Linked DNA regions of Stegostoma tigrinum. Each later gene encodes a partner of the first gene's protein in a complex. Links are inferred from orthologs where the notes say so. Each region holds a gene or a part of one and is shown on either strand. Other genes may lie near its edges. The genes, in order: aifm1 and mitochondrial intermembrane space import and assembly protein 40-like.

Region 1 (8,212 bases):
GAGGTTGAACCGGCTGCGGTTATTTTTCCCGGGGCGTCGGAGGCTCGAGGGATGACCTTATAGATGTTTCTAAAATCGCGAGGGGCATCGATAGAGTAAACAGACAAAGTCTTATTCCCAGGGCGGTGGAGTCACAAAACTCGAGGGCGAAGATTTGACGTGAGGAGGAGGATTTCAAAAGGACCTTAGTGGCAACTTTTTCAACAAAGGCTGATGAGTGTGTGCAGAACCAGCTTGCCGAGGAAGTAGTGGAGGCTGGTACAATTACAGCATTTAAAAGGTATCTGGATAGGTCAATGAATATGAGATAACAAGGTGTAGAGCTGGATGAACACAGCAGGCCAAGCAGCATCTGAGGAGCAGGAAGGCTGACATTTCGGGCCTAGACCTGTGATCTCAGATTCTCCAGCACTTGCAGTTCCTACTAACTCAGGTCAATGAATATGAAGGGTTTAGGGATATGGGCCAAATGCTGGCAAATGGGACTAGATTTGTTCAGGATATCTGGTCAGCAACGGATAACTTGTACCCCAAAGGGTCTGTTTCTGTGCTGTACAATTCTGACCTTATAAATGATTTCAAGGCAATAATCACATTTCAAAGTCATTTAAACAATTTTTTACTTAAATGACAGCAAAAGTAATAGATTCAGGCCTTGAACCTTCATGGTGTGCTTTGGCCAATCTGAGTCAACTTTTTCAGTCTCAATTGATCTGGTCATTGAAATTTGGTGTACTGATTTGTCCTGATAAATGTAACATTAAACTTTCGGCATCATCTTTTGCTGGGTCAAAATCCTGGAATTCCCTAAGGGCATTTTGGGTCTATGGACAGTACATGAATTGAAGAAAACAGCTCACAATCACCCTGTCAAGGGTAACCAGGAAGGCAATAAAAGTCAAACAGCCAACAATGGGCATGTCCAACAACTGAATTTTAAAAATGGTGTTTGTGGGCATAAACTAACATAAAGTACTTTCTGTGAAAAATTGTCATTCAGAATGAGTCCATTTTTACTCATGCTTTTCAACTTATTTTTAGAATATACAGAAACAGAAGAACATCAACATTTTTTTCTTTATTCATTCATAGGATGAGGGCATTGCTGGTGAGGCAGTATTTATTGCTCATCCTGAATTGCCTAGAAGGCAGTTTAGAGGCAACCACATTGCTGTGGGTCTAGAGTCACATGTAGGTCAGGTAAGGATGGCAGTTTCCCTCCCTAAAAAACATTAGTGAAAAAAATGAATTTTTTTCCTGCAACAGTCAACATTGGATTCACACTCTTTATTAGATTCTTAATTCCAGACGTTTATTAAATTCAAATTGCACCATCTGCTATGACAGGATTCAAACCTGGGTCCCCAGAACATTATCTGGGTCTCTAGATTAACACTCCAGTGATAATACCTCTAAGCCATCGCCGCCCTTTAGGAGCTGATGTAAGGTTTTCAGCCCTTCAAGCCTGCTCCAGCATTCAATATGATCACATCTGATATCCAACTCAATACCCTGTTTCTGATTTCTCCCCATACCTTTTGATTCCTTTAGCCCCAATAACAATATCTAAATCCTCCTGTAAATATTTCAATGTTTTGGCCTCAGATGTTTCCTGTGGCAAAGAATTTCATAAGCTCACCACTCTCTGGATGAAGAAACCTCTCCTCACTTCAGACCAAAATGGCCTTAAACTGTGACTCCTGGTGCTAGACTTGACAGTCATTGGTAACATAATTTTTGCATTTGTGCTAAATCCTGTTAGAATTGTGTTGGTTCCGATAAGATTCCCCTCATTCTTCCAAACTCCAGTGAATATCGTCATAATCCATCCAGCATGAAATCAGTCCTCCCATCCATGGAATTATATTGGTAAACCTTCAAAGAACTACCTTTATAGTCAGAACATCCTTCTTCAGAAGAGGAGACCAAAACTACATGCAATACTGCCGATACGGTTTTACCAAGGCCCTGTACTGCAGCAAGACATCACTCCTCCTGTGAAATATGACATCGTGCATGAGTCAGAGCTGTGGCAAAGGGTGCTGTGTCCTGAAAGGCAACAAAATAGTTGTGTAATAAAGTCATTAAGAAACCATACAAGAAGTGGAGGAAGTCTTGGAAACAAAGCTATTCATAGAATCATAGAATCCCTACATTGTGGAAACAGGACATTTGGCCCATCAAAACAACAGTGACCCTCCAAAGAGCTATCCAACCACACACACACCCTTATCCTATCTCTGTAAATATGCATTTCCCATGGCTAATCCACTTAGCACGTATTTTCCTGGACACTAGGGGCAATTTAGCATGGCCAATCCACCTAACCAACACATCGTTGGACTGTAGAAGGAAACCACAGTATCCAGAGGAAACCCACACAGGCACAGGGAGAATGTGCAGACTCCACACAGATAGTCGCCTGAGGCTGGAATTGAACGCAGATCCCTAGTTTTTGTGAGGTCACAGTGCTAACCACTGAGCACCAAGCAGCCCTTTCCCAACTTACATGTACTAGAAGAGATCTGGGCCGACTTTCAATCAGAATTTCATCTAAAACCATGAAAGTCAAGAACTCCCGTGTTGTCCAAATGATTGAGTGTGTCTCCTCAGAGGTTTTGCACGTGATTCAGTATAACAAGCACCAGCTCATCTCAGTCAAGGAGATCTAGAGGATTGTCCACCTTATGCTGCCAGGGAAATGGCCAAAGATGCTGTCTCGTTAGGCATAAAAGCAGACATCAAATGCACCAGCTTCTCTTAGGTCAACAATGTTAAAGAAAAATGATCTCTGCCCCTGTACTCCAATCTTCTCTCCATGAAGGCCAACAGACCACTTGCTTTCTTCACTTCCTACTCATGCCTGCATGCTTACTTTCAGTGACTGGCATCTGGTTGCTCCTCACACTTTCCCAATCTTCCATTCAGATGAAAATCTGTTTTTGCCACCAACGTTGATAACCTCACATTGTCCCACGTTGTACGTGAGCTGCTGTGCATTTGTCCACTCAGTTCACCTTGTCCAAATCACCCTTCAGCATCTCTGTATCCGCCTCACAGTTCCCCCTCCCACCCAGCCTTCGTGTTGTCTGCAAACCTGGACATTTAGTTTCCTCATCTAAATCATGAACGTTTATTATGAATAGGTGGGGGGAGGTGGTTGTCCAAGCACTCATCCCTGCAGTACCCCTGATTGCAGTCAGTTCCCGGCACTGGGGAAAATACTCGTTCTGAGGAAAGGGACACCAGACCCCGAAACAACAAAGTGAGGAGCTGGATGAACTGTGCAGGCCAAGCAGCATCTTGGGAGCACAAAAGCTGACATTTCGGGCCGAGACACTTCATCAGAAAAGGGGGATGGGGAGAGGATTCTGAAATAATTAGGGAGAGAGGGGGAGGTGGACCGAAGATGGATAGAGGAGAAGGCAAGTGGAGAGGAGAGTATGGGGAGGGGATAGGTCAGTCAGGGAGGATGGACAGGTCAAGGGGGCGGGATTGGGTTAGTAGGTAGGAAATGGACGTGCAGCTTGAGGTGGGAGAAAGGGATGGGTGAGAGGAAGAACAGGTTAGGCAGGCAGGGACGAGCTTGGCTGGTTTTGGGATGCAGTGGGGGGAGGGGAGATTTTGAAGCTGGTGAAATCCACATCGATACCATTGGGCTGCAGGGTTCCCAAGAGTAATATGAGATGCTGTTCCTGCAACCTTCGGGTGGCATCCTTGTGGCACTGCAGGAGGCTCAGGATGGACATGTCATCTAAGGAATGGGAGGGGGAGTTGAAATGGTTTGCGACTGGGAGATGTAGTTGTCTATTGCGAACCAAGTGGAGGTTTTCTGCAAAGCGGTCCCCAAGCCTCCGCGGGGTAGCCACACCGGGTACAGCAGATGCAGTATACCACACTGGCGGATGTGCAGGTCAACATCTGCTTGATGTGGAAAGTCATCTTGGGGCCTGGGATGGGGGTGAGAAAGGAGATCCGCATTTCCCACACTTCATGCCTCACACCCCGCCCCGGTAATAAGTGCCAAAAGAGAATCTCCCTCATCCTCACATACCACCCCACCAACCTCCGGATACAACGCATCATTCGCCGACACTTCCGCCATCTACAATCCAACTCCACCACTAAAGACATTTTTCCAACCCCACCCTTGTCTGCCTTCCGGAGAGACCACTCTCTCCGCGACTCCCTTGTCCGCTCCACACTCCCCTCCAGCCCCACCACACCCAGCACTTTCCCCTGCACCTCCTCTCTCACCCCTATCCCAGGCCCCAAGATGACTTTCCACATCAAGCAGATGTTCACCTGCACATCCACCAATGTGGTATATTGTATCCATTGTACCCGGTGTGGCTTCCTCTACATTGGGGAAACCAAGCAGAGGCTTGGGGACCGCTTTGCATAACACCTACGCTCGGTTCGTAATAAACAACTGCACGTCCCAGTCCCAAACCATTTCAACTGCCCCTCCCATTCCTTAGATGACATCCTGCAGTGCCATAACGTTGCAGGAACAGCACCTCATATTCCGCTTGGGAACCTTGCAGCCGAATGGTATCAATGTGGATTTCACAAGCTTCAAAATGTCCCATCCCCCCCAATCCATCCCAAAACCAGCCCAACTGGTCCGAGCCTGCCGAACGTGTTCTTCCTCTCACCGATCCCCTCCTCCCACTTCAAGCCACACCTCCATTTCCAACCTACAAACCTCATCCCGCCCCCTTGACCTGTCCGTACTGACCCAGCGATCCGCCTCCCCCCTTTCTCCCTATTTATTTCAGAACCCTCTCCCCATCCCTCTCTCTGATGAAGGGTCTAAGCCTGAAATATCAGCTTTTGTGCTCCTGAGATGCTGCTTGGTCTGCTGTGTTCATCCAGCTCTACGCTTTTGTTATCTCGGATTCTCCAGCATCTGCAGTTCCTATTATCCCGGACCCCGAAACGTTCACTCCGATTTTTCTTCTGCACAGACGCTGCCAGGATCTGTTAAACTTTTCCAGCAACGTCTCTAATCGACAGTATCTCAATTCTTTTGGGGAAGGGGGGGAGCGGAAGCTCTTCTCTTCTCCCGCTGCCTCTCGACGACTGTTGACATCTTCCCTCTGCCGGCCGCTAGGGGGTGAGAGCGCGGGCGGGTGCTGCCGCCGACGTGTCTGATCGGCGCCTGCGCGGAGACGGAGGGCCGGCTGAAGTTTGTGAGGGGGTGCGAGACGGCATTTTCTTTGTAGCGGTTGGGGGCGTGTGTTGTGGATGATGGCGGGGTAACGAGATTGACTGACCGATCGAGCCGGAACCATGCTGCGGACCAGGGCGACATGGCAGACGCTACTGCCGCTGAGCAGAGCGGCGTCGGTGCTAGTGAGGGGTAGCGCCAGGAAACGAGGTGAGGTGGGACGAGGGGACGGTTTGGCGGACAGCTGGCTGTAGGCCGCGGGTTTAGCTCTCGTCGCCGGGGCCAAGGTCGTGGGAAACCCCGCAGGCTATAAACTTTCTGCTTTTGGGGGCCCTTTCCCTCCCTTCCCCACTACTTGTCCCGTTCGTCCAAGTATGTGCCCTGAGCACCCTGCTGTTCACCTTGGCTTTCACTGGTAGGTCACAAACCAGAAGTTGCAGGCTGTGCCTTGAACTGCTTCTTCTCGCAATTGTTCACAAAGCATTAACTGGCCGAGCGGATCTGCCCGAGAAAATACTATTCTTTGGTATGTGTCCGTGTTTTTTGACCCCCCCCCTCTCCAAATCAGGTACAGCCGTTAGTTTTACGAAAGCTGTATAGGTCTCGCCTTGGCAGTTGGCACTTTCTTTACTGGTCCAAGGTCAGTGTCACCAAGAGCAACTCTATAAACCGGGAAGTCGCATTCCGTGCAAAAATCTTCCTGAACGTGGTGCAAAAGCAGATCGCTGCCGAGACCGGAGAGCTAAATCAAAAGCAAGATGCTCAACAGGTCACAGAAACAGAATTAACGTTTAAGTCCGAGATACCAAGGTGGAGAGCTGGATGAACACGGCGGGCCAAGCAGCATCAGAGGAACAGGAAGGCCGAGACCCTTTATTTAGAATATTTAGGTCCATAACTTGTCGACAAAGCCGGCGAGAAATACAACCGTAAAGTACGTGAAGATGCTAGAAAGTGAGGAAGGTAGGGACAAAAATCAATTTCTGTGAAGGTGTCGATGAGAGCAGTGTTTTCGATGCAGTATGTTTGGACGCCAGCTAGACTTTTGATCAGGTCCTGCATGGAATATTGGTAGCAAAGCTTAGAACCCATGGCACCTGAGGAAATTTGGCAAATTGGATGCTCGGCTGAATGGCAGGAAGTAGAAAGTTGTGTTGTTTTTCTGACTGGAAATCTGTCAAGTGGGGCTGAACAAGGTTTGGTTTTGGGACTCTTGCTGTTTGTACGTTATATAAATGATTTAGAGTTGAATGTAGGAGGGTTGGTCATTAAGATTATGTAATATAAAAATTGGGGTGATAAATGGTGAGGAGGATAGCCTTACATGTAAAGAAACTGGTCAAATGGGTTAAACAGGGGCAAATGGAATTCAGTCTGGGTAACTGTGCGGTGTATAAACAAGGCAAGGGAACACATGAATGAGGATACTGGCAAGTGCCAAGGATCAGAGGGATTGAGATGTGTATGTACACCAATCCCCAGAAAGTGGGAGCAAATTACTGCAGATGCTGGAACCTGTACTGAAAACAAAAAAACACTCTAGAAGTTACAGTGGACCAGGTAGCATCCACAGAGAGAGAGCAAGCTAATGTTTCAAGTCCAGATGACTGTTTTTCAGCGCTATAAGATGGGATTAGAATGGTGAAGTGACTGACTGTTTGTTTGTTTGTTTGTTTGTTTGTTTGTTTTTGACTGGTTAAGTGGCAGATGCGATGGGATGAAGAACCTTTTTCTGTATTGTACATCTCTGTGGTGGGATGAAACGACAGAAGAGACAATGACCAAGGCAAAAGAGTGGTAGTGAAACCAACGATCACCAGCCCATGATATTTGGATTAATGATTATGGGCAGTGTTTATGGTGTGAAAGTGTTAAATTTAATGTTAAGCCCAACATGTTGAAGATGTCTAATCAAAAAATGAGATTGTCTTCATTGAGATGCCCTTTGAACTTCATGTGATCAATATAAGAGGCTCAGGGTGGAGAGGGAGAGAATTAAGAAGGCAGGCAAGCAGGCACTCAAGATTACACTGGCAGACTGAATAAAGATGTCCTGCAAAGCAGTTTAGTATGTTCCTCTCACTAGTGGATTGGTGTATACACTGGTTAGTGTGCCATGGAAACAGTTGATGGTGTCAAGAGTGCATCAAGCTGTTGCAGAAGGACTGATAACAAAGTGTGGAGCTGGATGAACACAGCAGGCCAAGCAGCATCTCAGGAGCACAAAAGCTGACGTTTCAGGCCTCGACCCTTCATCGGAGAAGGGGATGGGGAGAGGGTTCTGGAATAAATAGGGAGAGACGGGAAGGCGGACCAAAGATGGCGAGAAAAGAAGATAGGTAGGGAGGGGATAGGCCAGTCCAGGGAAGACGGACAGGTCAAGGAGGTGGGATGAGGTTAGGTAGGAAATGGAGGTGCGGCTTGAGATGGGAGGAAGGGATGGGTGAGAGGAAGAACAGGTTAGGGAGGCAGAGACAGGCTGGGCTGGTTTTGGAATGCAGTGGGGGGGAGGGGATGAGCTGGGCTGGTTGTGTGATGCAGTGGGGGGAGGGGACGAACTGGGCTGGTTGTGGGATGCGGTGGGGGAAGGGGAGATTTTGAAGCTTGTGAAGTCCACATTGATACCATTGGGCTGCAGGGTTCCCAAGCGGAATATGAGTTGCTGTTCCTGCAACCTTCGGGTGGCATCCTTGTGGCACTGCAGGCGGCCCATGATGGACATGTCATCTGAAGAATGGGAGGGAGTTAAAATGGCTTGCGACTGGGAGGTGCAGTTGTTTATTGCGAACCGAGCTGAGGTGTTCTGCAGAGCGGTCCCCAAGCCTCCGCTCGGTTTCCCCAATGTAGAGGAAACCATACCGGGTACAATGGATTCAGTAACAGCTTTGCAGAACACCTCCGCTCGGTTTGCAATAAACAACTGCACCTCCAAGTCGTGAACCATTTTAACTCCCCCTCCCATTCTTCAGATGACATGTCCATCATGGGCCTCCTGCAGTGCCACAAGGATGCCACCCGAAGGTTGCAGGAACAGCAACT
Region 2 (7,602 bases), on another chromosome or scaffold:
CCCCCCTCACCCCCCTCCTCACCCACCCCCCTCACCCCCCCCTCCACACCCCCCCCTCCTCACCCCCCCTCCTCACCCCTCCTCAACCCCCTCACCCCCCCACCTCCTCACCCACCTCACCCCACCCCACTCACCCACCCCCCTCACCCCCCCTCCTCACCCCCCCCTCACCCCCCCACCTCCTCACCCCCCCCACCCCCCCACCTCCTCACCCCCCCCTCCTCACCCCCCTCACCCCCCCCTCCTCACACCCCTCACCCCCCCTCCTCACACCCCTCACCCCCCCACCTCCTCACCCCCCTCACTCCCCACCTCCTCACCCCCCTCACCCCCCCCACCTCCTCACCCCCCTCACCCCCCCACCTCCTCACCCCCCTCACCCCCCCACCTCCTCACCCCCCCACCTCCTCACCCCCCTCACCCCCCCACCTCCTCACCCCCCTCACCCCCCCACCTCCTCACCCCCCTCACCCCCCCACCTCCTCACCCCCCTCACCCCCCCACCTCCTCACCCCCCTCACCCCCCGCTCACCCACCCCACCTCCCGCTCACCCACCCCACCTCCTCACCCCCCTCACCCACCCCTCACACATCCCACCTCCTCACCCCCCTCACCCACCCCACCTCCTCACCCCCCTCACCTCCTCACCCCCCTCACCCACCCCACCTCCTCACCCCCCTCACCCACCCCACCTCCTCACCCCCCTCACCCACCCCACCTCCTCACCCCCCTCACCCACCCCACCCCCTCACCCACCCCACCTCCTCACCCACCCCACCTCCTCACCCCCCTCACCCACCCCACCTCCTCACCCCCCTCACCCACCCCACCTCCTCACCCACCCCACCTCCTCACCCCCCTCCTCACCCCCTCACCCACCCCACCTCCTCAACCCCCTCACCCACCCCACCTCCTCACCCCCCTCACCCACCCCACCTCCTCACCCCCCTCACCCACCCCACCTCCTCACCCCCCTCACCCCCCCCTCCTCACCCCCCCTCACCCCCCCTCACCCACCCCCCTCCTCACCCCCCTCACCCACCCCCCTCCTCACCCCCCTCACCCACCCCCCCTCCTCACCCCCCTCACCCACCCCACCTCCTCACCCACCCCACCTCCTCACCCCCCTCCTCAACCCCACCTCCTCAACCCCCTCACCTCCTCAACCCCCTCACCCACCCCACCTCCTCAACCCCACCTCCTCAACCCCCTCACCTCCTCAACCCCCTCACCCACCCCACCTCCTCAACCCCCTCACCCCCCCCACCTCCTCAACCCCCTCACCCCCCCCACCTCCTCACCCCCCTCACCCACCCCACCTCCTCACCCCCCTCACCCACCCCACCTCCTCACCCCCCTCTTCACCCCCCTCACCCACCCCACCCCACCCCCTCACCCACCCCACCCCACCCCCTCACCCACCTCACCCACCCCACCCCCCTCACCCACCCCACCCCTCACCCCCCTCACCCACCCCCCCTCCTCACCCCCCTCACCCACCCCCCTCACCCCCCCCACCCCCTCACCCACCCCCCTCCTCACCCCCCTCACCCCCTCACCCACCCCCTCACCCACCCCCTCACCCACCCCCCTCACCCACCCCCCTCCCACCCCCCTCACCCCCCCCACCCCCCTCACCCCCCCCCCACCCCCTCACCCCCCTCACCCCCTCACCCACCCCCTCACCCACCCCCCTCCTCACCCCCCTCACCCCCCCCACCCCCTCACCCACCCCCCTCCTCACCCCCCTCACCCCCCCCACCCCCTCACCCACCCCCCTCCTCACCCCCCTCACCCCCCCCACCCCCTCACCCACCCCCCTCCTCACCCCCCCCACCCCCTCACCCACCCCCCTCCTCACCCCCTCACCCCCCCCCACCCCCTCACCCACCCCACCTCCTCACCCACCCCACCTCCTCACCCCCCTCCTCACCCACCCCACCTCCTCACCCACCCCACCTCCTCACCCCCCTCCTCACCCACCCCACCTCCTCACCCACCCCACCTCCTCACCCCCCTCCTCACCCACCCCACCTCCTCACCCCCCTCACCCACCCCACCTCCTCAACCCCCTCACCTCCTCAACCCCCTCACCCACCCCACCTCCTCAACCCCCTCACCCACCCCACCTCCTCACCCCCCCTCACCCACCCCACCCCCCTCACCCACCCCACCCCTCACCCCCCTCACCCACCCCACCCCCCCCACCCCCTCACCCACCCCCCCTCCTCACCCCCCTCACCCACCCCCCTCACCCACCCCCCTCACCCACCCCCCTCCTCACCCCCCTCACCCACCCCCCTCACCCTCCCCCCCTCCCCCTCCCCCCCTCCTCACCCACCCCCCTCACCCTCCCCCCCTCCTCACACCCCTCCTCACCCTCCCCCCCTCCTCACCCCCCCCCCTCCTCACCCCCCCCCCCTCCCCACCCCCCTCACCCACCCCCCTCACCTCACCCACCCCCCTCACCCACCCCCCTCACCCACCCCCCTCACCTCACCCACCCCCCTCACCCACCCCCCTCACCCCACCCACCCCCCTCACCCACCCCCCTCCTCACCCACCCCCCTCCTCACCCACCCCCCTCACCCCCTCACCCACCCCCCTCACCCCCTCACCCACCCCCCTCCTCACCCCCCTCACCCCCCCCACTCCTCACCCCCCTCACCCCCCCCACCCCCCCCACCCCCTCCTCACCCCCCTCACCCACCCCCCTCCTCACCCCCCTCACCCACCCCCCTCCTCACCCCCCCCACCCCCTCACCCACCCCCCTCCCCCACCCCCACCCCCTCACCCACCCCCCTCCCCCACCCCCCTCCTCACCCCCCTCCCCTACCCCCCTCCTCACCCCCCTCCCCTCCTCACCCCCCTCACCCCCTCACCCACCCCCCTCCTCACCCCCTCCTCACCCTCACACCTGACCCTCCGTTCCCCCACCCCCTCACCCACCCCCCTCCTCACCCACCCCCCTCCTCACCCCCTCCTCACCCCCCTCCCCCACCCCCCTCCTCACCCCCCTCACCCCCTCACCCTCACACCTGACCCTCCGTTCCCCACCCCCCCGGCCCCTCACCGTGCCGCCGGCAGTGGGACATCTCTCTCTCTCTCTGTCTCTCTCTCTGTCTCTCTCTCTCTCTCTCTCTCTGTGTGAGGGTTCGTGTCCGGGGGGGTGGGGAAGAAATGTGTTTCTCAGTCTCCGGCCCGTGCTCCCGGCCTGACCTCTGACCCACAGGCAGGAACCAATCACAGCGAGAGGGCGGGGCCAGAACCGGGGGCCCAATTTAAAGCCGCAGAGACGGCCCAAAGCACCTACCCTATGGAATCTATAACATACACCCTATAGAATGCACAATGTCCGTCATACTAATCCATTAGAATGTATAATGTCCACAATACCTACCCTGTAGAATCTATATTTTCCGTAAACCCACCCTATGGAATGTATATTGTCCATAATACCCACCCTATGGAATGTATAATATCCATCACATCCACCTACTGAATAAACAATATTTATTAAGTTATAATGGACCAACGAGTTTGTGAGAATGGGTGATTGTGGTCATTGAGAGAATCAGGTGTGGCTGTGGGTAAAAAGCATGGACGGACTGTATTAGGCTCTTAAGGTTATTGAACTCATTGTTGAGTTCTAGAGGCCACAAGATCCCCGAGTGGAAAGTAAGATGTTCTTTGACCTTGCATTGAGGTTGGCTGGAACTCTACAGCAAGCCTGCAACAGAAATTTTGGCATGAGAACACAGCGGTGTGTTGAAGTGGCAGGCAACAGAAAGCTTAGGATCATTTTTGCAGACAGAGCTTGGTTTTCTGCAAAGCGGTTTGTGTGACGCAGACTAGGTTACATTCTGTACAGCTCACCGATTTTCTCCTACTCTTAGCTCTCATTGTCACATATTCAGTTTTTTTTCTATTCTGGCCTGCTACCCGTAATTTCCCTGTCTACCTAGCTCTTTCATATCTCTGTCTCTGGGCTCCGTCTCCACCAATCCGCCCTCATCTCCCCTTCAGATTCCCAGCTTCAGCTTCAGCATAAATATCACATTTTTCTGGCTCATACCAGCTCTGATGAAGAGTCTCTGGACCCTGTGCTTTCTTCCCACAGTTGCTGTCAGTCCTACTGAGTTTCTCCAGCAATTTCTATTTTTGTTTTAGATTTCCAGCATTTGTAATTCATTGTTTTATTTTAATCTATAGAATCCACAGGCTCAAATATTGTACAATATGTAATAACATGTGATTAATCTGTAGAATTGACCAGCAGGAAAGTGCAGTGAAAGACACAATTGGATGAGTATGAACTTATAGAATGGCAGTATAAGTGAGTTTTGAGAAGTTTTGACAGTATAAGTCAGGGGCTGTCCCTGCTCCAAGCTAAGATGGTCTTGAAATTTTGTGTGGCCATGTTCAGTACAATTGTGCAATCACCTCAATATGAGTGGATGCAGGTGAATAAAGTCATTTATATACTGGGGTTTCATTTTCCCTGGGGACCAGGTTCAAGCTGAAGAAAACTACAGCTCCCAGCATGCTTGCGGGAGGGTCCTAACCTTCCCAGGCGGAGCCCGGGGAGGCCACCACCCAGCATCCTCCGGTAGGTAAGACTACAATCCCCAGCATTCCTGGGGAGTCGACACCATCTCCCGGCAAGCTTCACGGGAGTAGGTCCGTCCCTCAGGAGTGCGCAGGCGCAGAATGTATCCCCCTTGAAGCCGGAAGTGAAGGTGTGAGAGGGGCTAGAGCTGACTGTGGTCTCCCCCCTCAGTGTGTGTTATTGGCAGGGAAACCATGGTGAGGCCTAATGTAAGTTCAGAACCACAAACAACAGCCTTGTCAACGTGCAGGTGAAGATTAATCTGAATTGGCGTTGGACACATTATCATCTGAAGATATTCCTGGGGAAGGGAGTTCCCTTCTATATTCTGACAGCCCAGATCCACGTGGCACAGCTTTGAACCTGAGGAAGACAAAGTTCCCATCTCCCTGGCATATTTGCAAGAGATCTGATATCTCTTCTTGTAAAATCAAAGGGGCTAACCAGAGTCCTTCTCCCTACCTCCCCCCCCCCCCCCCCCCCCAATCAGAACCACCAACCCTTCCCTATGTCTACTATGGCCCTGGACTGAAGCCAACAACTCTCCATCAGTTGCTGTTTTTTTTGTTTCTAATCAGCACAATTGTTGGCCAGTGCCAGAGCAAATCAAAATGATGCTGCACTATAATCAAAACATAATGGGTGGGAGGGTGCAAGTCTTGGTTAGTGAGATGTCACTGACGATGTGTAAATGACTTCAGACCCATTTGTCAAGATTATATTTTAAATGCTGTGTAAGATCCTCAGCTAAGTCAGTCAGCTCAATTATACTGGTTCTGGGTAAAATGAATGGGCAATAAATGTCAGTCTGACCAGGAATGCCCACAGCCCAACATCAAAAATTGTGTCACTGTTGTTTAAACACCTTCTGTTTTTGGGTGTGCCTGTACTGAATGGCCTGCAGCAGTTAATGAAGGCAGACAACATTTTGAAGGGAATTTAGAGATGGCCAGCCTAGCCAATACTATTCCACATCCCGTGAAAATGTTTACAAAGTTCATCTGTCTTCATTTCGCTTTTAAGATGGTACTTAAAGATTCATGAAAGCTTGTCCCTTCTGGTTTTGCAGCAACCAGGAGGCAGCAGGGATGAACACGTGAAGGTCACAAATCAGAAGAAGCAGGGATTCCTGGAACGTCTTGGGGAGACAATGGGGGGAATGGTGGTGGGAGTGCTTATCTTCACCTTGTCCTTCTACCTCCTCTTCACCAATGAGGTAGGTGCAGAGGTTGGATTACATGCTGTTTTCTGGGCAGGCATCAGTTATCCTGTTCAATTTGTGGTATCAGTGTCTGTTGCTCAGTGGGTAGCTCGCGCTCATTTCTGAATCAGAAGTTCATGGGTTCAAATCCCACATCAGGGACCTGGGCAAACAGAAGAATCTGAGGTGATAGTTTTTGTAAAATGCATGATGAGGAACGTTGATGTGAAACTTAACTGGATTTGATACACAACAAAACGTAAACAACGTGGCTACAAGAGCAGGTCAGAGGCTAGGAATACACCGGTGTGTAACTCCCCTCCTGACTCCCCAAAACACATCTAACCATCTAAAGGCACAAGTCAGGAGTGTGATGGAATACTCCCCACTTGCCTGGATGGATGCAGCTCTAACAACACTCAAGAAGGAATGAGGTGTGCAGTGAGCTGCCAATGTGTCGTTACTTGGCTTCATGTTCCTTACAGATAAAAGATCAAAGCTGAATGAGCTGAACTGTGAACTGCACAGAGAGGATAGAGACTTAGCAATGTGGGATCATTTCTACAGGCTAATTTCAGGAATTAGATGCATTGGAATGAACGGTCATGTCTCCCTCCGGTCTCTTCCTTCAAGTAGACGTTGTTGGGCTGGCTATCAGATTCCATTAGGTATTTGATTTACAAGTCCGTGGTATTGAAGTGGACATAATTAACTGTGCCAAATGATATTGAGCTGGAAGCTGGAACAAGGGACAGTGATGTTTGGAGATTTGTAAACAGAGAAAAATACACACTGCTATTATCCTGTGGTTTTACAATGAAAGCTTTGGTACCACATCCCTCTGAGACAGCATTCTCCCAAATACAGATAATCAAGTCCAAGTATCTCACCTGCCTCACAAATGCCCGTGTGATGGACTGTATAGAACTAGCTAGTTCAAATTATAATTTGGCTACTCAAAGAGGAGGATAACATACTGAGCCTATATGTAGAAGACAAAATGAATAATCAGATATACTAAAAATAAATGCATTATTTTCTTTCAGGTAGATTCTTGTTTGCACTAAAACTCAAAAAGTGATCTTGTGCTTAAGAATGTTGAAGTCCCTTGAAATAACACCATCTTCCTTCCTCTGGCTATCTGAGTTCTTCTAGATGTTGTCATGTCCCGGTTACCGCTCACTAGTATTCCCTGTAAACTGGGCACAGCAGCGTGGTAGGGCAGTGACACAGAATATTCTGCTTGGTGCAGTTACCAGGAACATTGCCCATGTGTGTTGTTGATGAACGTTTTGCTCACAGTCTGACGGTAATTCCATTGAAAAAATCATCAACCACTTGTTTGAACCCAACATAGACTCGCACTTTACATCTTGCTGTAACCTCTTCCAGTCCCCAAATCCTCCGATATCTCTGCCTCGCTCCAATTCTAATCCCTGGAGTATCTGTGATTTTAATCCCTCCGCCATTGAATGCTATACCGACAGCTGTCTGGACTCAACACTCTAGAATTCCCTCCATAAACCTCTCTAATTGTCTCTTTCTTTATCTCTCTATCCTCCTTTAAGATGCCGGTCTGTTTGAGATTTTGGTCACTAATGCTGCATTTTTATGTTGCTGGGTGACGGTTATTCTCTAATCTACGTTCTTGTGAAATGTCTTGGAACATTTTATATTGTGCTGATGTAGTTCTATAAAAGCAGGTTTATTTACAAGGCTCCTCTGACAACATCTCCTAAAACCATAACAGTTACCATCTGGAAAGAAAACGGTAGCACATGCAGGCACTC

The links.
Region 2: the proteins of aifm1 (region 1) and mitochondrial intermembrane space import and assembly protein 40-like are in contact, whole or in part, in a cryo-EM structure (PDB 9GQZ), measured with the Homo sapiens proteins. The link is inferred for Stegostoma tigrinum from reciprocal best matches to the Homo sapiens genes AIFM1 and CHCHD4. Residues at the interface, in NP_004199.1 of Homo sapiens: Pro345, Tyr347, Ser500, Ser501, Leu502, Pro503, Thr504, Val505, Gly506, Val507, Phe508, Ala509, Lys510, Glu558, Asp559, Tyr560, Asn602, Ala605, Lys606, Phe608, Asn609, Ile610, His611; in NP_001091972.1 of Homo sapiens: Arg5, Glu7, Lys9, Asp10, Arg11, Ile12, Ile13, Phe14, Val15, Thr16, Lys17, His20, Thr22, Pro23.

The regions. Positions count from the first base shown.
Region 1 is NC_081368.1:61,399,251-61,407,462, reverse strand, and holds the start of aifm1 (apoptosis-inducing factor 1, mitochondrial), read left to right. Parts: upstream 1-5,147; 5' UTR 5,148-5,295; coding exon 5,296-5,383; intron 5,384-8,212. UniProt on the Homo sapiens protein: Functions both as NADH oxidoreductase and as regulator of apoptosis.
Region 2 is NC_081364.1:2,799,540-2,807,141, forward strand, and holds the start of mitochondrial intermembrane space import and assembly protein 40-like, read right to left. Parts: upstream 3,224-7,602; 5' UTR 3,098-3,223; coding exon 3,076-3,097; intron 1-3,075. Other genes in the region: transmembrane protein 43-like, read left to right, coding at 4,806-4,820, 5,681-5,827.